Alligator mississippiensis: one gene and its partners. The protein of the gene in region 2 purifies or fractionates together with the protein of the main gene of each other region. This does not show direct contact. Links are inferred from orthologs where the notes say so. Each region holds a gene or a part of one and is shown on either strand. Other genes may lie near its edges. The genes, in order: RPP38, POP4, RPP25 and RPP40.

Region 1 (7,638 bases), on a different chromosome or scaffold from region 2:
CAAGGTCTGTAGTATAAAGTGCACATCTTCTCCCTCTAGAGTACGCCATGTGATAACATATGGGTTATTTAAAGAAGTTTTCACAGAAATTTTCTTTGTTTTACGGACTGATCCACCCCCTGCCTTCACTATAGGCATCTTGATACTGGTTTGTGTTTTAGCAGCTCAGCTGTGGATGAAAGAAGAGATAACTTATTAGCAAATGGTCCACAAGAAGGACCCCCTTACTTTCTTAGCTTAAAACAAAGTTAAACTTAAGAGGCATATGTATGTAACATTGGCCTTTACAAAATACTTGGCTATGCAGTGTCTACCTTATTCATTTTCAACAGGTTAACACTTGCACCCAAGTGACTCACCTGAAAGTGAACAAAAACAACTGGAAACACTACAGACAGGGCCATCCCTGGAGGGCGGGGAAGGGGGTGCGAATCAGGGCAACTGCCCCAGGCCCCGTGGCCAGTGCCATACAGGCCCCGCTTCATGCCACCAGCTCCACACTTTGGCCACTTGCACCCCTTCTCCCCCCCTGGTCCCACACACCCCTAGGCACAGCTCTGACTATTCTCTTAATCTGTAATGGTCATAAAACTAAATTAGAATGTGTAGGAAATGCTAAATTTTGACTCTTGTATTGTGACAGCAAGGGTATGCCAACAGTAAACAAAGGTGTAATTGTAGCATGCGCAGGCATACCCACACTAGTAAACTGACACACACAATATTAACAATGAAGATGCGTGTAACCTGCTCTGAAGTCTGGTATAAAAAGTCTGCTGGAGACCCAAACTGAATACCTGCTCAGAAGTTAGTGATGATGTCCAAGTTACCCTGTTATTCCTAGCTATCCAATTCAAGTCCTAATAACTTCATCTGAAAGTAAATATACTCCCACAGGTCAAGAGGGTTGGACCATGGTCTTCTATAAGAATCCACAATTACTGAAGAGCAAGTCTCCCTCCATGGAGAAGGCCAGATACAGATCTTAAATCGCACTTCAAAGGACCAAGTATCATTAGTTTATGCATGCTCTCTCAAAATTATCATTTCATGAGTCATTACAGTCCTGCATTCACTGACGAAAAGGTTGGTTTTTCACATAGGTTTGGAGTGTTGTAGCCATGATAGTACAAGAATATATGAACAGCAAAAAAACCCTTGCTTCTCCTTGGTTGTTCATTCAAGGTAACTTAACTTGACTGGAAACCCCATCTGACAGTTATGCCTGCACACTCCTGATCCCTGGAACTGCACATCTTCTAGCCTTACCTCCTATTTAATGCCACAACACAATCTACTCACACAGCTGGAAAGTGCCCTCTCTAAATTAAGGTTTTATTTATATCAGGGGAACTGTGTCCAAGATCCAGCCCACAAGCCAGATCCAACCAGTGGGTCTTGGACCAAACCCTTGGCACCACATGGAGCATGTGCTGGCCCCAGCCCCACCTACTGCATGAAACACAGCCGTGTCATCAGGACTCTGCGATGTAGACAAGGCCCATGCCACTTCTACACAGACGCATGAGAATGGGGGTGAACATTTCAACAGAGAAACCACAATTATCTTTTTTGCTAGTCTACATGGGGCTGACACTTTTCTGGGAAATCAATCCTCACCAGTTGCTTACAATACAAATTAAAAAATGGTTAACAGCAGTCATGTATATTGTTCAAAACATCTACCTGTATGCAAAGACCTTTGAAAAATATGTAATGTGGGGTTATTATTGCAATGATGAGTGGCCAGAGAATGTGACAGGTGGCCGCACCACCCCAAAAACAGGAGGGGCCAAAGGGGAGAAAGCCTCTCCTGCTGAAGAGGCTGTGTGCATGCACCTGGGGTAGAGTCAGGAGGAAATGCCATTTTGAAGGCTGTGAATGAGACAACCCAGTGATGTGCTGGGCAGAGACGGGGAAGAAAGCATTAGCGGAGGGACACACAAAAAGCAGGGGGTCACCAATGAGCTCTGCCTTTAATGACCTGCTGCTTTGTGCGCCTCTGCGGCTTCCCTCCCCGCTCCTGTCCCGCACCCAGCCGGGCCCCGCGCTCCAGGCCTGCAAGCCGGCACCTTCGCGCCCCCCCGCCCTCGTTCCCCTGCCGGCTCCGCCCCAGGCGCGCTCCCGCGGAGGCCGCGACCCGCCTCGCAGAAGTGACGGGGCGGCGCCAAGAGGCCCTTACCCTGGGCCGGGCGCTGCAGGCGGCTCCTCCCGCCGCGCTCCGGGCCTGGCGCCACGCCGGGAGAGGAGGGACGACGGCCGCTCCGCACAGGGCACTGCTGCCCGCTGCTGACTTGAGGCCCTTCCACCGTGACCCCGGAACCGGAACCGGAACCCCAGACGTCCACGCGCATCTTCCTGCCGCAGTGCTACGTCAACAAGGTTACGTCGCTTCCTCCCCGTTCCGGATCTTCACGCGCATGTGCGTCTTAGCCCGGCGGAGGGGAAGGAGCGCTGGCTGCGTACTTTTGCGCGTGCGCCCTGCAGGCCCCGGCTCGGCCGGGGGTGGCGCTGCAGGCTCCTCAGCCCGACGCCGGGGCTGGGCCACTCCCAGCGTCGGGGGCGCAGCGCGGGCTTGGGCTCGTCTCACACCTGCCCCGCGCCCGGCAGGGCTTGCTCCTCAGGCTGGGTGCGGCCCTGCGCGCCGAACACCCCGCATGCCTGAGCGGGGTGGGGGTCTTCTGCGGGGCTGGGCCCGGCCGGGCTGGCAGTGTCGCGGGCGTCAGGATTGTTTTCAGCAAAAGGCTCCATCTGTGTTTTCTGTCCTAACAGTTTCCCTTGTGCGCACTAATATTTCTCTCCTCCTTTGTCTCTTAGTTTGGGGTTGCGGGGGTTGGGCGAAATAGCCAAGCATGCTGGATTTTTTCATGCAAGAGTCTGCTCATGCTCTTCAGGCTGATCTCCAGTCGGCTGTTGCACGTTTCTGCCCCCTGAGGAGCTTCTCAGAAACCCCGGTTGATCTGGTTAGGTGGTGGCCCCGCCCACCCCTCGGCTCCTCCTCTGGCTCCTTTGCTGCACTGCACATGCTGCGAGTCCCCTCTGCAGTAGCCTGGGAGCCTGCCGCTCTGAGCTGGGCTCCGAGCATGTCGCCGCCTCGCCTCGCCCCGCGCAACCGCTAGGGGCTGCCGTAGGTTCCATGCGCGAGCGGCAGGCATGTGGGCCTGTACTTGGGAGCAAAGGGTATCTGCCACACCCCAGAGAAGTAACTCAGAAAGGTCTGTCAGTTTCAATTTATAAAGCGCTTTGCAAAACAAGAAGAGAGAAATCAATGCACCACATTTCCAACATTTTTTATTCAAAACCGAAGACATTGCTGATGATAGTGCCATTGCTGCTGAAGCAGCTTATGTGTACCATGCAGTTGTATGTTATCACAGCTACTTGTTGCCTGACTGGGATGAAGCTGACCGACAAACGTATTTCTAATTCCAACTTGAATAAAAAAATCACTGCAGAAGAACAAAGTCTGGACGTTTTATGTAAAGTGTTTGGATACCTTATTCAATCACATTGCATTTGGGTAATTTTCAAGACAATCGTTTTTTACAGGTATGACCCTTCAAATGAAGGCAAAATTAAATATTACCTATTGGTTGTGTGGTATTTTTCACTGTTCAACAGTGTTAGTTTCCTTGATTAAACAGCTGATGCCCATAAGCAACTGGATTTATACAGTTCTGAATTAAATTAAAAATGGAAACATTGGAAAATGAGAAATTTAGCATCCTTTTGAAATACTAGCGACTAAATTTCAATGGGAAGAAAAGCCACACTTTAATATGGGACTTTATCACTAACCAAGAATGTGAGCTGGCATGTGACAAAGGCCTCTTTTTTCCTGAATCTACTTGTACTTTGCACAAAGCTACATGAATGTTTCTCACATGGTAATCAAAATGTTTGAAAGTCATGCAACTAGCCAACAGGTATGTATGGAGTAGTGAAAAATCTGAGCTCCAATCTGTAGAAGAAGCTCTGAGACTGCATCTTTGGTTTCATAGTGAACCAGAGCTTAAAGAAGTTGCCTACATTCTTCAGACTGCATTTAAATTAAATGAACTGAAGGTGTGAAGAATAGCATCCATTACTTGGGCCATGCCTGTACCACCTGAAGACTGCCTCAGAAGGTGGTGCAATCCAGCCTCTTATTCCCATTTCCACACTGCCCTTGTCATGGATGGATCAAAGCCCACTCGCACACAAAGGTGGTAATATTGCATCCATTCTTGATTACAATGCAGAAAGCAAAGGGGTGGTTTTCTTTCCTGCAGTGAGTGTTCTCTTGCACACAAGCAACCAGAGCATGTCCTTGATGCAAGGCCTTTGAAACACTTATCAGTTCTTAGTTTTCATATTTGGTTTGTATTTGAGGAGCTGATGCACTTTGTTAAAACTTCAGTATAGCAGTACTGAATGGAGGAGCATTGTACAATGAATAAGGGGTCTACTGAATACAAGGAGGCGGCTGGCTGGTTTCACAGGCAGATCCCAGGGCCGGTTACCATTTTCATGGGCTGAGTGCAACAGCCCCACACATGCCTCTGATTTGGAGATTGCACCAAACTGCTGATTAGATTGCTTAATAATGCATCAATTAATGGCTTTCTCAGGCTTAATCGGGATTAAACCCACAGAAGCCATTAATTGACATGTTATTAAGCAATCTAACCACTTAAACTCTAAAATTAATTATATTAATTAAACTCTAAAATGAATTATCATAAAGCTGTGCACACCATAAATTGTAACCAGTGCCATCTAAGCACTTAATTAAACTCCAAACTGAAGTATCTTATATAAATAAAGCTATACACAACATGAATTGCAACTAATACAACTGTCAGAACCTAGTAACTGAATGCCTCTGGCACAGTGGAAAGTCCCGGCGCAAGAAAATCCCCACCAAGTCCAACGGTCACCCCCATTTGTGTTTCAACAGCCCGTATAATTGGCTAGCCCCTGCACACTGCCCATTGGCCGGTTACCAAATTATACCCACTTGGTAAATAGTGATTGGCTTGTTAACCATATAAAGGTAAAAGCAGTTTCTGCCCTTGTTGGAGAACTCCACATGCATCCTGGAGTAAACTTGGCAGACTGATCACCCACCAACGACTCTCCGTCACCGATCCTCCCGACGTACCCCCTCCCTGTGCACTCGATAAGCCGTTTATGGAACGTCTCGTCTCGTTTTAAAGAGCTCTCGCTACGTTTGTAACTGCAACTTGAATCAATTTTCTTCCTGCACTGCACGCATCAGTGGCGTAAGTAAACAATCTATTTTCTACCAATACGCTTCTGTGCCTGATTCCACTCCACTCGCCAAGTACCCACCTGCCGTGCCGGGCTACTGGCCATAGCCCAGCAAGCGAGTTGGCAACGACAACAACCATATACACTTTATCAAAGGACATAAAAAGGAGTTTACTGAAACTGATGTTAACCTTGAGACAGACAATTCATGCTAACTATTAAATGCGAGCATGCTGCATCCAACCACAGTTGCTGCAGACATTCTCTGTCTCTGCGGGGTGAACACTTGTCCATACATTGAGATAGCAAGCTCAGCATCTACTGAGTTCATTGGAATGGTGAGGAAGCAACTTGTCAGGATGTACAGATGTGGAAACTGGTCAGAGTCCCCGAACACAGGCACAGGCATCTGGCACTCTTTGACAAAGTTCATGTAAGCAACACTTTCATTGTCATGTTCTTTCCCCCATCCCAGGATTGCTTTCAGTAGCTGAGGATCACAACTCAGAAAAGGCAACTGGTTGGGGTTCAAAATGTGAACAGCACTAAGGAAGGGGGCAGCCAGTTGTCTGAACTGCAGTTGTACCACAGGGACAGATGGGTCATTCCTGTAGTGCTGGTTCAGCTTCACAACTGTTGTCTGGAACAGGTCTCCTCTCCAGTGGTTTTCATGAGGACAGTTTGGCAGTTCTTGCAATACCATGTTTTCAGTCCAGCTTATCAAATCCAGCCCCTTGTTGTGTGTGTGGTGGATCACAGCTGGCTGGCCTTCAAACAAGGCAGGAGGTCCATGAACCTAGTGCCATTGTCAGCCACAAACATCACTTGATATTGAATGTCACCTCACCCTAAGATATCATGAAGTTTAAGCATGCACTCTTTGCTGGGTATGATTTTCAGCTCCTCGTCCACAAACGGTTGATAGTGCTAGATATGCTTGGCGTGGTAATGGACTGTGTTGAACCATGAATCCCATCTTGTGAGCACAGGCTCTGGTGGCAGTGGCACAGTGCCATGTGAGCCCCCAGTTTGACTAGCAACAGACTTGGACAGTGTCTGAAGGCTTTCTTGAAAGAGGGCACCAGGCTAGCCACATCAGGGAACTGCATGCGCCGTATGTCACTTACTGAGGACAGAATGTGAACGTTGCAGGTGACATGAACAGCATTGGGCAACATTCCTTGGAGCACGTCGGAGAAAGCTTTGCACGTGTACATGGCAGTGTCAGACAAGAATGCTGAAATCTTGTTAAAGTCTATGTCATAGCTGACAATTACCATCACAATGGCTTGAGACACAGTAGAAAAATGGACAGATGTGAGCTGGACCAGCTCAGTTTGAAACAGGCAGGTACTGGTCTGTCCAGCTCCCGAGTACAAATAAAATAAGCAGCACCTAGTTATCTTGAGGGTTGTTGTGCTTCATCATCCACAATGGATAAGGAGTCATACTCTGCAAAGGCAGACTTTTTTAACTGTACATGCAAAGCACTCACTGCAGGCAGATAGTCTTTTTGAAGCTTGTTGGTATGTGGAAAGCTGCCAGCATCTGGCACATTTTGATTCAGGTAGTACCTTAAGTTTGAGCGATCAAGTTTCTCTAGTAGGATGTTCGCCATTGCGAAAACCTCCACAAAGGAAAATCCCACCTCTTGCCTTGCCAAGCTGCTTTCTGTGGTCATTTTAAAGAGGGAGGACATGGTTCCTTGTTTCTTGCTCTGACCTTCAGCCTCTGCAACAGCCTTCTGCTTCATGTATGCCTTGAACTCTTAAGTTTTGATATACATTGGGTTTCCTCAACACATTCAGAGTTACGTTGTCGGTGGCACAGAAGAGTGCCTCCATCTATGCGCAAGATCCCTTCAGGATACAATCTTATATCGTCTAGCGTTGAAACATATTTGGGTGCCTTGGAGGATTTCTTCGAAGTCATCATCCTTGCTTCTCCTCAGGCTGCAACATGCTGTAACAGCATGCCTGCGGATACTTTAAAACCTGGTTCCCAAATCCTCCCATTTGCCTTTCTGGCTCTGAACTGGCTCCTGGACTGAGCCTATATCACTGGCTCAGCCTCTGATTTGCTCTCTCTCCCTCCTCCCAATTCCCCATGTACTTCAGCACTCCAGGGCTTCCCTTTTCTCTTCTTCCAGCTTTTTTTTTTCTCAGCGAGACTGCTTTTTTGTGGAGCCCAACCAAAATTGCAGTTTCTGCAAATATCTAAAAATGAATGATAAGTAACAGAAAATTAGGTTTGAAGGGAGTTTAGGAGGTCATCTAGTCCAACCCCCTGTTCAAAGCAGGACCATTCCCAACTACATCATCCCAGCCAAGGTTTTGTCTAGCCAGCTCTATAAAAACCTCCAGGGAAGGAGATTTCACAACTTTT
Region 2 (6,884 bases):
GTGGATTTAGTCTTTCTAGACTTTAAGAAGGCCTTTGATACCCCATCCTCATCAATAAATTAAGTGACTGTGGCATTGATGCCTACACAGTTGTATGGGTAAAAAACTAGCTGATGGGGCGCACCCAGAGAGTAGTGGTGGACGGGTTGTACTCAGCCTGGTTAGATGTGAGCAGTGGGATACCCCAGGGCTCGGTCCTTGGGCCCTCGCTGTTTAACATCTTCATCAGAAACTTGGATGAGGATGTGGATGTGGGGCGAGGTGGACACACTTGAAGGGAGAGAGAGGCTGCAACTAGATTTAGACAGACTACAAAAGTGGGCAGACGAGACTAGGATGGGGTTCAATGTAGACAAATGCAGGGTGCTGCACCTTGGGAGAAGGAATCCACAGCATGCATACAGACTGGGGGGCTCCCTTCTTGAAAGCACAGAGGCAAAACGGGATCTTGGAGTCATTACTGACTCCAAGATGAACATAAGCCGCCAATGCCAGACTGCAGCCAGCAAGGCCAGCCATACCTTGTCTTGCATCCAAAGGTGCATCTCAAGCCAGTCCAGAGAGGTAATACTCCCCCTCTATGCGACTTTGGTCAGGTCGCAATTGGAGTACTGCATCCAGTACTGGGCGCTGCACTTCAAAAGGGATGTGGCCAGCCTGGAGAGGGTTCAGAGAAGGGCCACCCACTTGGTGAGAGGGCAGCAGGACAGGCCCTATGAGGAGAGACTGAGGGACCTGAACCTGTTCAGCCTTAGCAAGAGGAGGCTGAGGGGGACCTAGTGGCTGCCTACAAGCTCATCAGGGGAGATCAACAGCAAATAGGCAGAGCCCTTTTCTCCCCAGCACCACCTGTTGTTCCATCTCCATCAGCTGATTACTATTGTTCTGAGGTAACAAGGAACAATAGTAATCAGCTCATGGAGAATAGGTTTAAGTTAGAGATCAGAAGGCAATATTTTATAGTTAACGGTGGCCAAAATCTGGAACCAACTTCCCAGGGAAGTGGTCCTGGCCCCTACCTTGGGCAAATTCAAGAGGAGGTTGGACGATCACCTGTCTGGGGTCTTGTGAACCCAGCATTCATTCCTGCCTGTGGCAGGGGGTCAGGCTAGATGATCTGTTCAGGTCCTTCCTGGCCCTAGCTACTGTGAAACTATGAAAACACTGAAATCCAAAAGAACTATGAGAGCTTACAGCACTGCTGTTCCCCAAAACCTGCAAAGCTGTAACTGAGAGGCGCATGTTTTGAGCTGAAGAGTAGGCCTGTGCGAGTTGGCAGTGATCCAATCTGGCTTCGGATCCGGCCACTTCAGATGGCAGCGATCCGATCCGGAGCTTCGGAGCCGCCTCGGAGATCCGGCCATAGGGTATAATGGGGAATCAACGAAATAGCTATAACTTTATTATTTCATGTCTGACTTGGATGAAACTTGCAGGGAGGGTAGCCTCTGCTGAGAGCATGAAACCTGCCAAGTTTCAAGAATATCGGTGAAGGGGTTTGAGGGAACTGTACCCCAAATTCTTGAAAGCCAAACTCCTGTCACAGCTGTGTGTTACACCACAGTGGGGTGAAACTGCAGGGCTGGTAGCTCTTACTGAGGCCACAAAGCCTGCCACGTTTCTAGGAGACAGGTGCAGGGGTTTGGCAGGAACTGCCCCTCAAGCTGCAGACAAGCAAAACTCATGCCATGGGTGACACTGCGTGTGTTAAGGCACAGCGGGGTGACATCTGCAGGGATGGTGGCCCCTGCTGTGACGCCTGCCAGCTGTGGAGGAGATTGGTGCAGGGGGTTCTGGGGCCCTGCACCCCTAGCTGCTGACAGGCAAAAAAAACTGCGCCAAAACTGTGTCTGTCTTGGGGCAGTTGTTGGTCTGTATTGAGACTTTCCTTCCCTTAGCCTGGTTTTGTAGGTGCTAACTGAGGCTCGTTAAGTCTTTATGTAGTAGCTAGGTCCTGTGTACTGAGCTGGTCCCTGAGTGAATCATGGTTGATTGATTGGTAACTGGGAACACAGCAGCTTAGCAGCCAGGCCTGCAGCAGTCTCCCCCCTCCCCACCCCAACACAGTCACAGTCAGTCCCACAAGCACCCATGGCACCAGTTTTGCTTGTCCGCAGCTTGAGGGGCAGTTCCCCCCAACGTCCAATCTTCTTGAAACTTGTCAGGCTTTGTGGCCTCACTAAGACCTACCACCCCTGCAGTTTTGACCTCCCTGTGTTGTAATACATAGAAGTGACAGGAGTTTTGCTTTCAACAATTTGGGGTACAGTTGTCCCAAGCCCCCACAATGATCTTCTCAAACCTGGCAGGCTTTGTGGCCTCAATAAGAACTACTACCCCACTATAGTGTAACGCCTAGATGTGACATGAGTTTTGCTTTCAAGAATTTGGGGTACAGTTCCCCCCAAACCCCTGCACTGATCTTCTTGAAACTTGGTAGGCTTCATCCTCTCTACAGAGTCTAGCACCCCTGAAGATTTCATCCAAACCAGACTAAAAACAATAAAGTTATCAATATTTTATTGTTTCCCCATTACACCCGATGGCCAGATCTCCGAGGTGGCACCAAAGCGCTTTGGGAAGCCGAATGAGGCCAGCGCTTTGACCCAGACATGCTGCTTCGGACCCCGAAGCATCCGAAGCTTCTCCGGATCTGAAGCTTTGTCTGAAGCCTCGCACGGCCGTACTGAAAAGAGCAGACAAGGGAAGCAGAAAGCAGCTCAAGTTGCTCATCTTGCTGCCCCCACCCTGAAGAGTTCCTGGAGCTGAAGGTGGGGCAGCGGGGCCCCCAGCTTGGCACAGAAGATGGGGACGAAAGGGAGAGGAGCAGAGATGAGGCAGGAGCCAGCGCAGCTGCCCTGAGAGACACGGGGGCAGAACACAGGGCAAATGGGCCAGCGATACTTAGGGACTTGAGGACAGGCAGAAAGCTGGTGCTGCAAGGCCCCAAATCCTCTTAAGCAATCTGCCTCACAACACATACCTACACAGAGGTTGTGACTGGAGGTATCTACATCTGTCAGCCTCTTCAAATGTCACAAACGTTGGGTCCCTCTAAGACTGGTTTGCAACCTGTGGTCCATGCACCCTTGGGCCCGCAGACCATGTCTAAGGGGTCGGTGTAAGATGACTACGCTCAGTCAGAAGCATGTGAATACCCAAACAGGAACACACCTCCATGCCAAACTTTTTAAGGGTCCACGAATGAAAAAATGTTGAAAACCACTGCTCTAGGGCACCGATCACCAGCCTTTTAAGCTCCAGGCTCCCCCGGACAGGGGTCCCCTGGGACAATGCCAGCTCTTGGTTTTCACTCGTGTTTTGGCCACACAAAACGAGCTGCTCGCCCGCTGGGAAGAATGGCCACAGCCCATGGGGCCGGAGTGCTCTCAACGCCGTGGATTCCCGCGGGACACGTGGGGGTCTATGGGTGACCCCAGCCTGCAGCCTGGACAGCTCCCAGGGACCCCACTCTGGCCTCATGGGTCTGAGCTCTCCAAGGGCTAGTGAGGCTCCTGGGGGTCCTGCTGCATGGAAGTGTGTGTGTGTGTGTGTGTGTGTGTGTGCGTGAGGGGGGGTAGTCCTGCTTCAAATGATCTGGGCCGGGGCGGACGGGGGCTGGACGGGCGCATGCGCAGCCCCGGACTGGGACCAGGATCAGCACGTGGAGGCGAACGCGAGAACTTCGCCACGCCTGCGCATGCGCCCAACAGTGACCCAACACCGCCCGAGTTCCGACGCCAACATTCCCTGCCCCCACCGCTGAGCGCATGCGCCTCGCCTTCCCTGGGGATGGTACTGCACATGCGTCAGTTACCCCTCCGTCTTTTTTTTTTTTTCCCTTTTGCGCACGCGCATGGAGGCGATCTCCTAACGGGCAACTGCGCCTGCGCCTCTCCCTCCCCCGCCCCGTTCGTCACCGCGTTGCTGCGCTTTGACTTCATCAGAGCGAGCCGGAAGTGCTGGGGTGCCGTCGGGATGGAGAGTGAGCGCGCGGGGGCTTGGGGCCCTTCTCACGGAATTGACTGGGAGGAGCCGCTCCCCTCGGAGCCGGGCGAGGGAGGGGAAAAGGGACAAGGGGAGGGGGAGGTAAGGGGCTGCAGTAAGCAGTGCTCGTGAAAACCCAGAGCCTTGTGCCTTCGTGTGTTACAGAGATGATCTACAGCAAACTGCCTGTGCTGGCCACCCAGCACCTGGGCATCCAGGTACGTCCCGCCCTCAGCGCTGCTGTCGTTCCTTCGTGTCATTGCCGACAGCGATTGCATAACGTGACATCGTCGTGTCCGCCCGGGCCGTGCGTTGGCTGACAGGCGGGTCTCCATCTCCCCGGGGGCTCGTTCGTTTGGCCCCTGTTTGAATCCAGCGGTCGTCGGAGCGCCGTGGCCGCACCAAGGAACTTCCACCACTTTGGGGCGGGCAAGGCCGCAGCCATCCTCGCAGAGCCCTGAGTCAACGGTCCAAAAAGGAGAACCCCGATGAGCTCGCTTGACGGCGGTTTATTTAAACAAGATCCTGACAACATTTAAAGCAGCTTTCCGAGGCTTTCTGTACCACTATTGGCCACCACTTGAAGTCTTTCCTCTCCTAGGCTCTTCTTTTGTGCAGTGGGTTTTGTGCAGGTAGATGCCTGCGCCTCCCGCAGCCTCGGCAAGGGGCAGGGAGTCTAGCATAGAAGTCACTGCAGTAACGAGGCCCTGTTGATTGCCTCGAGATGCAGTTACATTGGCGTAGGATCACAGGGACTGGGGGAAGGAAGACCGCAATATTTATGCGTTATGTTGCCGGCTTTTTTTTGAGGTGTGCATGATAGTGATGCCTGAAATATTTGAAAAGTGCTTGCACTGAAAACAGAGCCAAAATTGCAGTGTGTTGCCCTTTATTTTGTGTTATAGGAAACATGGAAAAGGATTAAACTGTCTTGTATTAGTGCTGTGCACTTGCATATTAAATTTGAAACAGCTGTATGTGGTTTGTTGAGGGTATGGTTTGTATTGGGGAAAAGACTTATTAAACCTGTGGCACTTCATGGGGTGGGGGAGGAATCTCAAGTCACTTTTCTTGTACAAACAGTTTTTTACACCTATGTTTCTTCCTTCATGATAAAGAATATCAGGATGTTAAGAATTCCGTCTTAGCCACTGGGTACCTCACACTTTTCTATAAACTTTGAACTCTTGGCTATTGAGAGTCTAAAGTTAGAAACCTATGAAGTTACCTGTAAGCAGTGACTTATTTGAACTGAAAAGTTATCACAAATAACTTGAAGCAAGCTAGCATGCAAACTATTGTTAACCATTTTTGCATAGCTAACTTACTGCGAATAGACTTCCTTGACGCACAAGGCAGCTACAGTTGGCATTAATTTGGCATGCTTTTGGCCTCTTCAGATGAAAAATGTATAGCTGTGTAAACTAAATTGTAATCTCAGTTCTAGAGTCAATCCCTTCATCTACTTTGAGATGCATATTTGTATAATTGGAATACAAATGAGTTTATCCTTTTAAAATATTTCCATTTGTGCTATGATTCATCTGCAGGTCTCTAAATACTATAATGGTGTAGGCTTCTGATGAAACCTCCAGTCAATTATATGGTTTTCTTGACTAGTAATTTGTTTTTTAGCGTCAAGGATCAAAGCAGGCTGAAGCTTTTGTAAAAGCCTTTCTGAAGCGTAGTATGCCAAAAATGAAAGATGAAGCTATCCAGGATAAATTAACTCGAAAAGCTGTAGTTCTTCGGCATTATCTGAGAAGAAAGAAGAAGGAGAAAAGAAAGAAAACAAAGGGGTTTTCTGCAAAGCAGAGAAGAGAAATGCAGCTCTTTGAAATTAAACCAGAACAACAGAAGTAAGATCTCAAAGGTTTTCTTTACTGAATTATCAATAAAAATGTGCAGGTAACAGCATGTCTGATGCTAAGCACTTTGCTTATAAAGTTATTAATCTATTTAGCGAAGTTAGTTGTTCCGTGCTGTTCATGCTCAAATGACTGCACAGAGACTAGTAACTACAGTTGATAGTTAATTATGACCAGATAAACTGTCACACTTTACATCACATGCTTTATTAAAATACATTTTCTTTGTAACCCAGTTGTAGTTGATACGAAATTAAGTTGACGGGGAAAAACAAGTATGTGCTTCTAAGCATGGCAAACATAGTAACTTCCTCAGTTAGGCCTGTTAGCAGTGTCCCTAGTAAATACAGAGGCAGCACATTAGTGCTGGTCTTCTTAGAGTAAGTATTCTTGCAATTTTGAATGACTTACGACGGTAGTTTCCAACATTTCCTGCCCTATGGGCCAGATGAATGATGCAGGGTTGGTCTGTAGGCTAGATCCGATGCATGGCCCTTGCTCTGCGTGTGCCAGATTGGCCTGCCACCCGGGCCCTGCACGCATTGGATTGAGGCCACTGTCCCACATGGGGCCCATATGATCTGGCCTGTGGGGCTTGTAAATTTGGAGGCAGGGGGAAAATGGCAGTGTAAATTGTCACTGCTCTTCCCCCCACCCCCACCCATCAAATCTGTGGAATTGTGGGGAGCCCCATGAGTTGGATGGCATGACTCTGCAGGCTGGATCTGGCCCACAGAGCTGCAGTTTAAGTACTGCTGACTTACAACATAGTAATGTCATGGGAACAAATAAGAAACGTAACAAATACAAGTCTTAACTTTATTTGCAAGTATGGATCACGTTAGTAGTCCAAGCTGTTGTTTTTTTAACTAATGAAAAGCAGTTCTTGTATAATCTCTCATTTTGTTGGTTATGCTATAGGTATGAGTTGTTTCTTCCGTTACACGAGCTCTGGAAACAATACATACGGGACCTGTGCAACGGACTCAGACCAGAGGCGTAAGTTGAGTTTGTTTATGAACATGGAAG
Region 3 (5,671 bases), on a different chromosome or scaffold from region 2:
CTGGGCTGGATCTGGCTGGCTAACTAACCAACAGCACAGCCAGACTAATTACTCACCTCACTGGGTGGCCAGGGCCCTCTGTTCTGCTCATACAGGGAGAAAATTGTGATTTATTGGAGACCTCAGTTACACCTCGTTTCTTGCCTGGCTCTGACAAGAACTTGGTCTTTCACTGCATTGGGCCCACCCTCCGCATGCAGGAGTGAATGATGCATCATACTGAAGCATTCAGATAGTTGAAGAAAGCAGCAGACCCCTAAATGTAATTATCATATGATGCCACATTACCCCTTGCCTCATCCCTTGCACCAACCTGCCAGGACCCTTCTCAGAGATGTAGAGAAGCATTTAATTGGATTTAAAAAAGCATTACAATATTTCAGGCACCTGAACCCCATTTATTTGAATGGCTATTAAGCCTACTAGATGCCTATTAACAATTTTGGGTGCCAAAATCCCTATGTGAATCTGGCCCTTGGTCCAAGGATTTTATGTTGAGATTGGAAGGAGGTTTTGATCTCAGCTTGAATGTTTTGTGAGGCCAAAATCTTCATCATTTGATGATGTCCGTGTTATATTTTATGAGCCATGAAGAGCAACCTTGCACTTTCAGTCCAAATGATTTTTATTGTCAATGGAAGGAAACAATAGGAGAAGAGAGAACAAACGTAAAGTCTCTGTGTCTTGCTGCATGTCACACTGCGGCCACAGAAACATGACATGGGAGCTGGATCACAGCTGCTCCTTCAGGGAGACTCCTCTTCACTTAACAACAGAGTTCCCTCCAAGAAGCGCTCAAGGAAATTTTCTGAGACAGGTGACTCATCTTCCCATCCAGGCAGAGCAGAAGCAGCCCTCTGGGCCTGCCAGCGCACCTGAACTAGAGTTGGCAAGAGTAGGCCTTTGTGATAAATAGTCTGTAATGTAGACAAGGCTTCTGAGGAGAGGACGTGGAGTGTGCACTGCGCAGTTGGGAGGGAGGAACCCTAGGAGCAGTTGGCCCTGGCCTAGCTGGAGTTATCCAGGTCTAGTCACCACGGCATCTTCTAGAGGAGATTCTGTGGAGAAGACTTTCCCTTGAAATGTTTCCCTAGATAGGCCCAGCAGCTATGAAGTCTTTAGAGCTGTTTCCCTCCCAGCCTCCCTCCCTCTCCAGCAGTCTCTCTCTCCTAAACAATCATCTATCTTTGTCTCTGGATGATTATAGATGAGGCGATAATTCACTCTGAACACTCAGGGAGGGTTAATTCGTTGAGGGGGGAGATTTACTGCCCTGCACCAGAGGGAAAGAGAAACAAGGGAAAGGCTCTGATGGAGTGACAGAGAAAAGGAGGAACGTGAAAGAGGAAAGATAAATGGGTAGAAAGTGAGTGAAAAGATGAATGCCCTGCATCCTCAGCTTGCATTTCACATTGAACTCACTCCATCCCCTGTTCGCAATGATCCAGGCTGGGACTGACAGCCCACACTGGAGTGGAGCATGGGGAGAAATTGGAAGAGGAGAACAAATTATATAGGAAAGAAGTAAAGAGGAGGGTAAAAGAAGAAAATGGAGGGAAAGTTAAAAGGGAGACAGAGGAGAAGGGGGTAGCTTGAAGGAAGAGGTAAAGGACAAGGGAAGGGCAAAGCAGCAAGGGGAAGTCTGTGGCCCAGCCTATCAGTCATATGGGTGCCAGTAGCTGCAGCCAGTGCTGGCGGGGGGCCTTGTGTCACCACCAATTGGATATTGATCCTCGCCTGCCTGGTGAAGCCACTGTTCTTCCTTCTTTATGACAGTTATTGAGTTCCTTTACTCCATCTTTTATGCAGCAGAGTGAGAACGCTCACCAGGCATCCAGCCCTGTGGCCTTAATTGCTAGTTGATGAGAAAGCCGCGATGACTGAATCATCACTGTCAGAGGCAGTGCCTGCCCATCTCCTTGTGTTCCTCTGCTCCTGGGATCACACATACTGCCCAGCTGATGGACTGGGATTGGGACCCAGTACCACCCTGTGCAGGGATGAGGCACCCCTCACCTAGAGTAAGGAGGGGATTCAGGCACCACCCTGTCTCAGCAGAGGAAGGGTAACCTGACCAGAAGGCTCCCCTGCCCCTCAGGAGCCCTTATCCAGTCACACATGGGTTCATTCCTCTCCTCTGGTACACTTCAGCCATCACATGGAAGCACTGTCTTCCCCTAGAGGGATAAGGACATGAGGGCAAGAAAGGTTTCTCCTCTGGTCTAATGCTAGACCCTACATCATGACCATTAGCCTCTCTCCTTCCCCCTCCCCTGAATGGGAGAAGAGTTCAATTTCCATGTTCATTCCTCTTCTCTTCACATTGCCTTAGTGTTTCTGAATGTCTAGGTTGCCACTAATGGGGTGAATGAGGCTTAGGGTGGGCCAGTCCCTCCCCTTCCAGTCCTGCTGCTGAAGAGGGGGCCTGGGAACCACAGAGGCCTTAAATGTGCTTGAGACTAACCTGAGATTTGAAGGCTGAGGCTCACAGGAGACTCCCCACTAGGGACTGAGGGATTCTCCTGCCCTCTAGTGGGAGTAGTGGTAGCAGTGGGCCTGTCTCCAGTCCTATAGACCAAAGGACTCTCTTCTTTCCCCTTAGGAGTGGTAGTAGAAGGCCTCCTCAGCTGCATTAAAGGCCACAGCAGAGGATGCCTCTCTCTCTCTCTCTGGGAAGGCAGGATGGCAGCAGGGGCACTCTGGCACTGTCTCCCGCTGCTGGGGTCCCTCTGCCTGGGCCTGGGCTGGGCTGCTGCCTTCTTTTCTTCCTGCCACACTTAGTCTGCTTGGCAGGGAGGAGTTCTCAGGGGCCCCAGAGCACCAGGTCTTGGCAAAGCTGAAGTGAGGCAATCTGGAGCTCTCAGCACATAGCAACATGTGGCTCCTCTCCAGCCACTCTGCCCTCACATATGCCCACCCCTCACTGTGTCTGGTGATGAAGGAGGAACTGCTTTTCCCAGACCCAGCGGGCTTTGAAGTGTGTGGGATCTAGGAGCTGGGTCCACTCAACAACAGGCCCAACACTTCCATCCAGAGAGGGTCCCGGGGTTCCCTGCACAAGGAGTCTCCCTAGTGACTCAGGAGAACAGGGGATCTACGAGTCTGGACACACTATATACCACCATCCTATATACTGGTTTTGTACTGATATAAATGATCCCAGGCTCTGGAGCAGACAGACGACCTGCTATCTCAGGGTAAGTGGTAACAGAAGTTGATGCTCTTACAGTTCCTGACCACTAGGTGGCAGGAGAACACGATTTGCCTTATATCAAGCAGCTACCCCAGGATTGCTCTGGACCCATAGTGTAACTTACCCCAGTGTCGTTTTAACTCTGATGTTTCCCCCAGGGTAATTCTACAAGGGCTTCAAGTCAGGCATTCCAGTGTAGGGCTGAACGCTGTGTGTCCGCTCCTTCCTGACACCCATGTACATGGGCTGATTGCACCCATGCAAATGGGCCATGTGTCCAAGCCCTGAAGGACACTACAATGAATACAACAATAAATCAGCCTGCACACATCAGCTTAATGAAGGGCCCTGCTCTGCCTGCAGGGAGCTTGGTCCCCTGGTGGGGATGCTCAGTGTCAGAGCTAACTCAGCCAGTCATGGAAAAGCAGGAGCAAGCAGCTGCCGGTACTTTGCTGACATTTGCATTTAGCAGTTAATGTCCTTGAGCTGGAGAAATCACCCAGGAGAAGGGGCCAGTTTCTCTTTAAGGGGGCAGGACTCTGGAAGCATCATGAAGAAAGAGTAGCTTTCCTTCTCCCCCACCTCCAGCCCCCCTTCCACTCCCCTCCCCCCCCCTTCCAGCTTCTCTTGGACTAGGGAAAAGTCAGACTCTCCTACCAGCCAGGGAAGTAGGGTTGGGGGGATGAAGCAGAGAGCTCTGTGCTGGGATGGGAGGCTGAGCAGGGGCGTGGGGTGAGGGAGGAGGAAAGCGGGGGAGGAGGAGAAGAGGGAGGATCTACTAATTACACAAAACAGCTCTGGGGGCTGCTGAAGTCCAGAATGAAGCACAGAGCAGCAGAAAGGAGTGCTGCAGTGGGAGCGGAGGAGCCCAGGCATTGCTAAGTGCAGGCACTGTGAGGGATTCCCACCCAGGGAGGATTCTGCAGCTCTGTCTCTTCTGGGGACTGACTGTCCAGCACAGCCACCACAGGGGACTGGTCAGGCTTCACCCAAAGTCCTTCTTCACCTGCCCAGCGAGAGGGGTGAGTAGCCAGTCGGCAGAAGTGGGATAATGGGGGAGCAGGACTAAACTTGCCCCTCTGCTTGCTGACCCACAGCTGAGGGAGTCTGGTACTTCCCCGGGAGCCTTTGCAATGGACATTGGGGTTTAGGTTCCTGACCTTGCTCATTTTCTCCCTGGGGAAGGATGGCTGCTGAAGGGGCAGAATCCAAGCCCATGCCTCCTGTCACCCAGTCCAGGATGGAGAACTTCAGGAAGGTGAAGACATCAGAGGAAGACAGCCCGCTGCCCTTTACTGGCCTGGCCCCTGATGTGGTGGAAATGAAGGTGAAGGAGGGCAGCAAGATCCGAAACTTGATGGGGTTTGCCATGTCCAGGATGGAGCTGAAGGGCACTCGGCAGATTGTCTTCAGTGGCTGTGGCCGGGCGGTCACCAAGACCATTACTTGTGTGGAGATCATGAAAAGGAAGCTGGGGGGTCTCCACCAGGTCACCAAGGTGCGCTACAAGACCCTGGTGGAAGTCTGGGAAAACAAGGACCCTCTGCCCAATGGCCAAGTGGAGACCCTGACTGTCCATAAGAATGTGCCCTCCATCTGCATCCTGCTCTCCAAGGACCCCCTGGATCCCAGTGAAATGGGCTACCAACCCCCAGAGCCCAGGGAAGGGCTCTGGCCAGAAGAGGAGGAGATAGAGGATGAGATATCCACTTCCTCCCCAAAGGGCATGAAGAGACCTTTGACATCTCCACAGGAGGAACTGAATAACAAGAAGTTGCAGGTACAGGTACCAGAGAGTCAAAAGGGCTCAGGGATGATGGACTACATGCTGGACTATCCTCACTGACTGCCCCACCTCCCACTCTGAGAAATAACCTAAGCCATACATAGTTTCTATAGAAATGAGATTCTATATTGAAGACACTCCAGATTTTTAGATGCTTTGTAATCAATAAAGGGACAATGAAGTCAGCAACTAGCTTGGTCATGAGTCCTGGTGGTCTTGGCTGTCCCCATGCTTACCTTCTTTCATAGACATGGGTAATCTTTCCCCCTTCCCTTCCCACACACACTCCTCTGCCTCTTTGGTAGTAGCAGGAGGAGGGCGAGCCATTTCCAAGCTGCAGGGAGTGTGGTGTGGACAGAGATACCCCTCCAATGGAAAGGCAGCAAGGTACAGGGGACAGCTCCTGGGCATATGGTTGCAGTGGGTTGGTGGTCATAATGGTGTGGGTACAACACCTTACACTGAGCTTCAGGTACCAGGTAAAGACTAAGTATCCTGCTCCAAGGAAAGTGCAAACTAAAAAGGAAAAAGGAGTATGATGGGGTATGCTCAAGGGGTGGGAAAGTAAAGGGGTGGCATGTGTGATTACTGATTGGAAAAGGTTAAACCTGCTAGCCACTGGATAAAGCCCAAGTGGCAGATTAACAGATGTGGAAATAGGGCAAGAGTCCCATATGGGAAGCCGGAGTGTG
Region 4 (7,904 bases), on a different chromosome or scaffold from region 2:
TTACATTGCACCTCAGCTTTGACAAACCAGATCTGGTTTCAAAGCTGAAAAAAATATATGGAAGAAGCTGTTGCCTTCTGACAAGAAACTTTTCCAGATAATGTGAAGACTAGGAATTTCATTCCAAATCCTGTCATCTTTATAGAAAACAGAGTCAGTTCTTCACCAGTGCCAGGAAACATTTCACAAATCCTACCCAACTCCAAGCCATTACTACACTCTGCCTCAAAATGCTACTTCTTGATGACAACCTATAATTTTTTTCAAACACATAAAAACCAAACTGTTGTATTACCTAATTACCCAGATTTTGAGTGGAGACAGCTACCGAGACTGCGGTGAATTTCCAGGGTCTGAGAAATACAAATGATTTCATGTTTAAAATGCCCAATGTCACAATACTTAGAAACCTCACACCTAGCTAAACACAGAAATATAGTAGTCACTGTAAGGAAGTCAACATTTACAACAGTTACCATGCCCTGAGACAGCTTATATTTAAACATGAATACTCTGACATTTTAAAGACTATTGTATACATTGCAAAGGTTTTTTTTAATACACATCACTGAATCTGGTGACAATCAATGTGCGAGTGAGGGATAACAGTGATAGCTTGGCAGTTGCATCAGTCTAAGAATATAGCAATGAAAATTACAGGACTCTACTGAAATGGAGTAAAATATGCTCTGATCACCATCCCTAAAAAAACCCAGCTAGGCTCTGCCAGATACACAGCTCCAAATGGTGTTTGTCCAGACCCTGCCCAACACTTTTATTTTTCATTGAACTTAATTTAGCAACAGCAGAAAGCACTAATCCTCTCATTATTACCCCTCCACAAGATAAGAGCTGCACTGCAAATGAATGAACACTTTTCACTGTTGTGACAGAGCGTAAGTCGACTCATGTTCAAATAACGGTGCAAAGCTCATCTGTTGACACAAGCTTTGCCTGAAGGTCTGCAAATGCTGTATCTATATGCTGATAGTTGAATCTTGCAGCTGCATACTTTATTTAGTTGACACTAATCATCTAATTTTTATATTTTATAAATGACCATGTGAATATCAGCCAGAGGGAAATGAAATGTAACAGGTACATTATTTTCAAATTAGGAGCCTTGTAATTACACATGCAGTTGGCTTATTTGTAGAATTTAAACTACCCTTTAAAAAGGTCACTGAGCCAGTGACTTCCAAACCCTATACCTTAACAAAAATCTAGCAAACTGGAAGTGCTGAACCAATGAGCTCCAAGCAGACGGTGGTTGGCATCACCGCAGAAAGGTGTACTCATAAAGCCAGACACTTTACAGAGATCAGTCTTAGAATCAGCCAAGCAAGCCAGTACTGAGCTAGTGAATTCATAATGGCCTTGCACCTACTATCAAACCAGTAATCTATGGTTCTTCTAGGACACATATTAACCAGCCTCTTCAAATAAATCAGCAAGTAGAGTATAGGCGTGAGCCAGCAATATCAGAGACCAAGGCCTAGATCATAATATAGCTACAGACTGTACCAATGGAGCACAAACATATATGTCGCAGAGGCCTCAGCTTTGATATCGATTTGGCAAGGTAAAATGCTGAGCTACTAACCTTAGGGAGGCATGAGCCTTGACATGAGTTGAAGGTATATCTAAAGAGATGCAAAACTTCACATCAGTTCAAGAGCTATAACTTCTGTGATAGTTACCCAAAATATGTTTGTGGCTTGATATCAGTCCAGGAAGCCAAAAGTGCTGAGCCAGGGATGTCATACAGGCATCTATGGCATGATACCAGCAGGCTAGAGCCATTGAGAGAGCTGATCCTAATCGAGTTTTGTGCCTGGATACCAGCCCAGCACACTACAGTGGTATAGATGGTCAGCTCCCAGAAGCTCACGGTTCGTCCTTAGTCCAGCAAGCTGGAGGTGTTGAGCTAGTCAATTTACAGGAACCCAAAATATTTACATCAGTTCAAGCTATCACTTGGTGAGTGAGCTAATGAAGTCAGACTTGAGCTCTGACATTAGTCCAGCAAACTATATATCAGGTGAGCTAGTGAAATAACAGAGGTCTGACACTTTAGATCCATTTGGAAATGACCTAATTGTATCCTGTCTCTTAAAAACAGTGCAGCAACCAACAGGACTTTTTTTCTTGGCAGCCACCCAATTAGAGAAGTAAGCAATCATTCTCACATAGTCCTACGTGCTGACATGAGATAATAAAAGTTAGATGCTGTGCCATGACCTTCACAGTACTGTGGCTTAACTTTAACTTGATATACTAACATTGCTAAGGTAGCAATCTTACACAAGCTCTTGGTTATTCCTGGAGCAATTGTTGATGGACTATTATAAAACCTGTCTTCTTTCAGACTCAGCATTTACAGCTTCTATTATTTATGTATTGAAAAACTCTGGGAGACATTTGAAGATGAGTTGACTTGGTAGCTGTGATTATGGTCACTTCAGGTAGTTTGTACTAGTCTAAGCTGAAAGAGCAACCAGAATGACAGAAAACAAAGAGATGATGGCTAAGGAAGGAGGAAGAGTAAGTAGAAAAGGAAAAGGCAATTTACACATCCGTCATCTTTAAACAATCTTAGAAAAGTCATAATCATGCCTTCCTATACTACTACGTCTTTGTGGGGTAACTATCTCAGACTAATGTGAAGGCTAGGGTCTCTATGAAGCCTCTAACTCATCAGATATGGCTTAGACTGATGTCAAGGCTCAAGCCTACTTACGATTCAGCATTTCTATCTTGCAAGCCCAGTAAAATAGAAATGCAACATTTTTTAAATCCTGTCAAACTGGATGCATATGAGGAATACTCACAGAGTCTCAATGAGCCCAAATTCATAGATAGCTCAAAGAGTCCCAAAAATTCCCACGAGATTGTGATAACACCTGAGCAGAATCTATGTACTGGCCTGTCTTACAAGTTCTCAACACACTTCACAGTTTTCCAAGGTCCAGATATTTATTTCCTGTGTAGGATTATGAGTTGTCTGCCAAAGGGGCAGGTTGGTAAACTGCCTCCAGCACGTTTGACATCTTGTGGGTTGAGTCTTTACACCTCTAGCAGGGCCCTAACACATCCATTTTCGCTTCACACAGTCAAGATGTCTACATGCTTCAACACATCCCTCATTTGCTCAATATTTCCAAGGACCATCTCTCTCAGGATTCTGACTCTTCTCAGCAGGGCTCCTGAAATAGCAAGGAGAAAACATGCTTCCTAATTGTTCCAGTCATTTTTTCTGGTTCATAGGAGGAATCTTGAGTGGAAGACGTCAATTACCATTTCTTAATTGCTGTCTAGAATACAAGGCATGAGAGTACATGAAGGATGGCTCATTCATTATTAGTGCCTGCCTGAAGTGGCTGGATTAGGGGATATTATATTACTGTACTTACTGGCAGGAAAGGTAACAGCTGACATCCTACACTGATGTCCTGCCACTATCAATGTAGAAAGAGAAGTATCTACATTTAAGAGCGATGAATGAATCTTGTAGGATGTATTAGCAACACAGCTTTCTGTGGATGAGATGATTACCAGTGTGCCTAGGGGTTTCCTATGAGATGTAATGTTGTCAAAGCGTGTGAGAAAGAAAATGATGGAATTTCCTACAGCTTGTACCATTATCGGTGCTCATTGAGTGCGAGTGTGTGTTTGTGATGAGGGTGAGGAATTTCCCATGTGATGGTGTAGGAACCATGCTAGAAATACTTCTACTAATAATGTGCATGGTGTGAAAGGACTACAGCAAATGCAAAATCAATTATTTGATAATATTATCTATCCACAGTGAACTCACATTGTTTGTCTGTAAATAAAATGTTCTAGTGTAAACATAGCATATAGGCAAAGCAACAAAAAACTAGGCCTAACCATGGTATTGATCATGGAAGGAGTTCTACACTTCGTACACCAGTCTCACCCACGTTTTTCTGACACTGTTTTGCATTTGGCTAGGAGATTAACTTCTCTTTCCCTCACACTGATGACACAAAGTTCCTTTAAGTACCATGATACATACATTTTTAAAAAGTTTAACTCTCCATTGCCCAAAACCTTGTGTTTGAACACTCATCCAAAATCTCTTCCAACCATGCAGTTGGTCCAATAGAAGATCTCATTCCACCCCCCACAAAATAGCCTTAACTCTCGAGTGGGACAGGTGATGAATTAACTGTTTAGCAGGCTGCAGTTTCCGTGTTGCTAGCTTCTCTAGTGATTTTCTTCCGACTTGAGAACATTTTGTTTTACTTCCTCAGCTCCTGGAGACAGATGAGGATTTGAAAGTATCTCCTCAGCTTCATCAAGGCTTGTGGTTTTATCACAGCTCTTGCATCCTTTTTCCAAGTCCCCAGCTCCTGGAGTCTAGTGATTACATGAAAAACAGCTTTTTTTTCTTCTTCTTCTTAAAAGGAGATTTCTAATCTCATCAGTAACAAAAACAATGCTTGGGGCCAAGCTCACAGCCAAGATTTGGAAAATAATTAATTTAGACAAATCCATTAGATTGTAGAAGCTTTTCTTGCCCAAATGATGATGCCTCAGTGTTTGCCCCTGACAATTCTGCAAACCAGGAGGAACTAATACTTAGCGGTGTGGAGGGGGACAACACACAAATAATGTTTAAACGGTGCAGGACAACCTCTACATGAGGTTCCTAGCAGGCAGTCACCAGCTGACCATAAGCAGCAGCACTCCACCCTTCCTGCTTCTCCTCTGCCTCTTAACATGAGATGAAGGCAGACTGAGGGCAACACCTTCCCCAGGCAGCACTGAGCATGCGCACACCCCTCAGGCGCCTTCCACCCTGCAAAAGCCGGCCCCGGAAGTAGCTGCAGGGAGGCGGAGGAAAGCCGCCGGAAGTGACTTCACGAGCTTCTTCCGCCAGCCCCGGTTTGGTGACGCGGCTCGGCCCGGCTCCTGATTGCCGGCTGGGGGTTCCGCGCTGGCTGCAGCATGTCGGCGCCGCTGCGGAGGCTCCGCGAGACCCCGCGGCACCTGCTGGTCTGCGAGAGGAGCCACGTGCGGCACGAGCGCTCTCGCCACGCGGCGCGCGTGCGGGGCCACGCCTACAACTGCCGCGTGAGTGCGCCCGGGGGGCGGGGCTTCGCGGCGTGACGTCGCTCCCGGCTCGCCTGGGACTCGTTAGGGAGAGCAATTAAACTATTAATTAATTGATCAATCACACATTAAACCCGAGGGACCCCCACCGGTTAGGTGCAGGGATGCCCTTAATGCTCAGGATGAGACAGTGCCCTGAGCTTTGGGCTGGGTGCTCACCCAGCCTCTCCCCATTTTACAGATGGGAAAACTGAGGCACAAGGTTGTGTGGTCACCAGCTCACACTGCCTGTCTGCTCTTGCTGAGGGAGAGCAACGCATTGTTGTCATTAAACCCCAGGAAGGGTTCCTGTCCCTCTCTTCCTGGGTGCCCTTAATGCCCAGGCTGGGCTGTCCTGCCCAGAGCTTTTGCTTGCGCACTTGGCCCTCTCCCCATTTTACAGGTAGGAAGACTGAGGCTCATCAAGGTCCAAGCCTGCGGCAGAGCTGGGAGACGAGCCAAAAAACCAAACCCAACCCAAACTCAGCACAGGGTTTCTAGCCCAGAGCAAAGCAATCGCCCTCCCTGCCCGGTTGTAACAGGGCAGCAGGGGCACAGAGAGTCTCAGCCAGGGCCCCTGGGGCCGTTTTAGGGGGCGGCACAGCATTAGCACTGCTTGGCGGGCAAGCACCTGCAAGTGGGTGACAAAAATGTCATTGCTCCTTTAAAGCAGCCGAGACTTTGAATTTGATTGTCCAGCTAGGAAATAAGATTTTCCCAGTCTTAGGCTGTGATACCAGTGGCTCAAGGAAATTAATGGGAAACTATTGCTGATATAATTGACTTAAAGCATTTCTATATGTTTTTTCTTATTCTGTTTGGAGCAATTATGTTAGAGCTTGTTTTTATTTGTTGGATGTAATGTGCCTGTCACTTGGTTTTTACGTTGTTTTGTCCCTGCTCTGACATGAATTAAATCACCACTGCTGCCACCTGTTTTGAGTTAATTCCTGTGTGAAATGGAGCAACAGGTTGTCCATATTATCACCACAATAATTCTTTATATACTCTGAAGTCACTGTGTGGAGTTAGTATTGAAACCATGCCTGTGGTGGTTGCTGTAGCCTTGTGAATATGGCATTCACATAATAAAATGGGAGATTAAAACACAGATGCTTTATTTCTTTGAAGTTTTTTTTCTTTAAACACTAGCAAGTATGACAAGTTCAAGATATTGCAGTTGATTTGCCTAACCTTGCTTGGGTGCACTGCATCAGTCTTGATTACACTGCCCACAATATGAAAAGTGCACATTTCTGTAGTTTAAATTCAGGTATCTTCTTTATTTTCTGCTTCTCGACTCCGGTTTTCCCTCCTCCCCCAATTGAGAAAGCTGTTTTTACTTCTGTGTAGTGCTACACGCTATCCCAGCTTCCATGTTTGCTATCTGTTGCAAAGTGGATGTCCACTGATGTTTTCTCCACTGATTCCAGGATTGATTGGTATGCATATTGTTTCATTTAATGTTTTATAAGCATTTTGGAGAAACATCCTCAAGAAATATGCAGTTCCTCAGGGAAAGTCTTTCTGTAATTTATAACTAAGCTTAATCCATTTTTGGCCTGCAGGTTGCAGTGTTTCAAAGTTTCTGACACACAAATCATGTTGCAATGCTACATATGATATGCTGAATGAGGTTTTGAAAATTTGGCACATTAGGGAACCACCCAGATACAAGAACTCTGTGTTTTCTCTCTCTTTCTCCTCCAGCCCTGTTTTAGACCTTTCCTTATGTATGAGTGTAACATCTAATGTGTATTACAAATATGGTCCTAACAGGTGTCATTTTTGATTCCTGAATGTGGCGTGCTTCCAGAACCTCTGAAAAGTGTTACCACAGATATGGGAGAGTACTACCTGGTGAAGAATTTACCCCTTCATGAATTGGTTGCACAGGAATTTATCAGTGCATTTGTAAAGACAGGTAAAGGAGAGCTTAAAACAAATAAGACAAACAAATAAAAAGGTGTCATCTGTTCTTTTAATAATAAAACATGTTTTTGTTAGTTTCTGTGTGGGGTAGTCTTGGTTCTGAAAGTTATTTGTAAGCAGAAAGAGAAAAGTATTCGAGTAGAAATCTGTATCAGTCCCGTCATCTCCCTTTCTTTCTGTTCACTTATATATATACTTGTATAGCTGTCATAATGCAGAGGAAGAGGTTGGTAAAAGAAACAGTAAGAAAAGTGGACAGGGAGAGGAGAGGAGAGTCAGCAAGTCAGTGTGCATTGGCTTTTGTGTAATTGTTTTTCCTTGGGTTTTTTTTTTTTTATGATGGGAGAAAAAGAGACTTCTGTACTTCAGTTAGATTAATAGAGCTTTTTGGCTAGCACCCCGAGACCAGTGCTTGTAAAGGTACACTGTTTCCTGAAAGCATTTATTTTTCTGTCCTTTATAGTACTTTGTCCCTGCACACTTCTATCAGGAATGATCTTGAGAGCCACTAGTTAGAGAGTAATGTTTTAGGTCATTTAAAAGTAAGGATTCCAAGATTTCAGTTATTATTACTTTGTTTTCTTGCCTTAGAGAGTTTTGAGGTAAGAATCATTAAGTGGTTTTACAGATGAATGGGGGACAGTGAGATGTAAAAAGTTCCAGTTTGGGAGATGAGACCCCATTGGGAATAGCAAAAGGTGAACATGTGTAAGACCCATGGCATTTGTCATAAAAAGAAAGGGAAGGAAGACTATTGGCCTCTGTGTTCTAACTCATTTCCATTTGGGTATTCATGATCTGCCAGTGCAGATTTCCCTTATAATTTTAATTGGGTATTAGTTATGGTTTGCTTT

Evidence for each region.
Region 1: the proteins of POP4 (region 2) and RPP38 purify together in Homo sapiens (affinity purification with mass spectrometry; 4 studies listed by BioGRID and IntAct, counting the BioPlex papers as one, with this or other methods). This does not show direct contact. The link is inferred for Alligator mississippiensis from reciprocal best matches to the Homo sapiens genes POP4 and RPP38.
Region 3: the proteins of POP4 (region 2) and RPP25 purify together in Homo sapiens (affinity purification with mass spectrometry; 3 studies listed by BioGRID and IntAct, counting the BioPlex papers as one, with this or other methods). This does not show direct contact. The link is inferred for Alligator mississippiensis from reciprocal best matches to the Homo sapiens genes POP4 and RPP25.
Region 4: the proteins of POP4 (region 2) and RPP40 purify together in Homo sapiens (affinity purification with mass spectrometry; 3 studies listed by BioGRID and IntAct, counting the BioPlex papers as one, with this or other methods). This does not show direct contact. The link is inferred for Alligator mississippiensis from reciprocal best matches to the Homo sapiens genes POP4 and RPP40.

What each region holds. Positions count from the first base shown.
Region 1 is NC_081828.1:179,774,098-179,781,735, reverse strand, and holds the start of RPP38 (ribonuclease P protein subunit p38), read right to left. Parts: upstream 3,014-7,638; 5' UTR 2,183-3,013; intron 170-2,182; 5' UTR 139-169; coding exon 1-138. UniProt on the Homo sapiens protein: Component of ribonuclease P, a ribonucleoprotein complex that generates mature tRNA molecules by cleaving their 5'-ends. Also a component of the MRP ribonuclease complex, which cleaves pre-rRNA sequences.
Region 2 is NC_081833.1:57,323,599-57,330,482, forward strand, and holds the start of POP4 (ribonuclease P protein subunit p29), read left to right. Parts: upstream 1-3,882; 5' UTR 3,883-3,978; coding exon 3,979-3,985; intron 3,986-4,152; coding exon 4,153-4,205; intron 4,206-5,622; coding exon 5,623-5,846; intron 5,847-6,776; coding exon 6,777-6,854; intron 6,855-6,884. UniProt on the Homo sapiens protein: Component of ribonuclease P, a ribonucleoprotein complex that generates mature tRNA molecules by cleaving their 5'-ends.
Region 3 is NC_081834.1:27,514,664-27,520,334, reverse strand, and holds RPP25 (ribonuclease P protein subunit p25), read left to right. Parts: upstream 1-3,845; 5' UTR 3,846-4,215; intron 4,216-4,378; 5' UTR 4,379-4,379; coding exon 4,380-5,039; 3' UTR 5,040-5,171; downstream 5,172-5,671. UniProt on the Homo sapiens protein: Component of ribonuclease P, a ribonucleoprotein complex that generates mature tRNA molecules by cleaving their 5'-ends. Also a component of the MRP ribonuclease complex, which cleaves pre-rRNA sequences.
Region 4 is NC_081826.1:122,607,776-122,615,679, reverse strand, and holds the start of RPP40 (ribonuclease P protein subunit p40), read left to right. Parts: upstream 1-4,886; 5' UTR 4,887-4,974; coding exon 4,975-5,100; intron 5,101-6,897; coding exon 6,898-7,042; intron 7,043-7,904. UniProt on the Homo sapiens protein: Component of ribonuclease P, a ribonucleoprotein complex that generates mature tRNA molecules by cleaving their 5'-ends. Also a component of the MRP ribonuclease complex, which cleaves pre-rRNA sequences.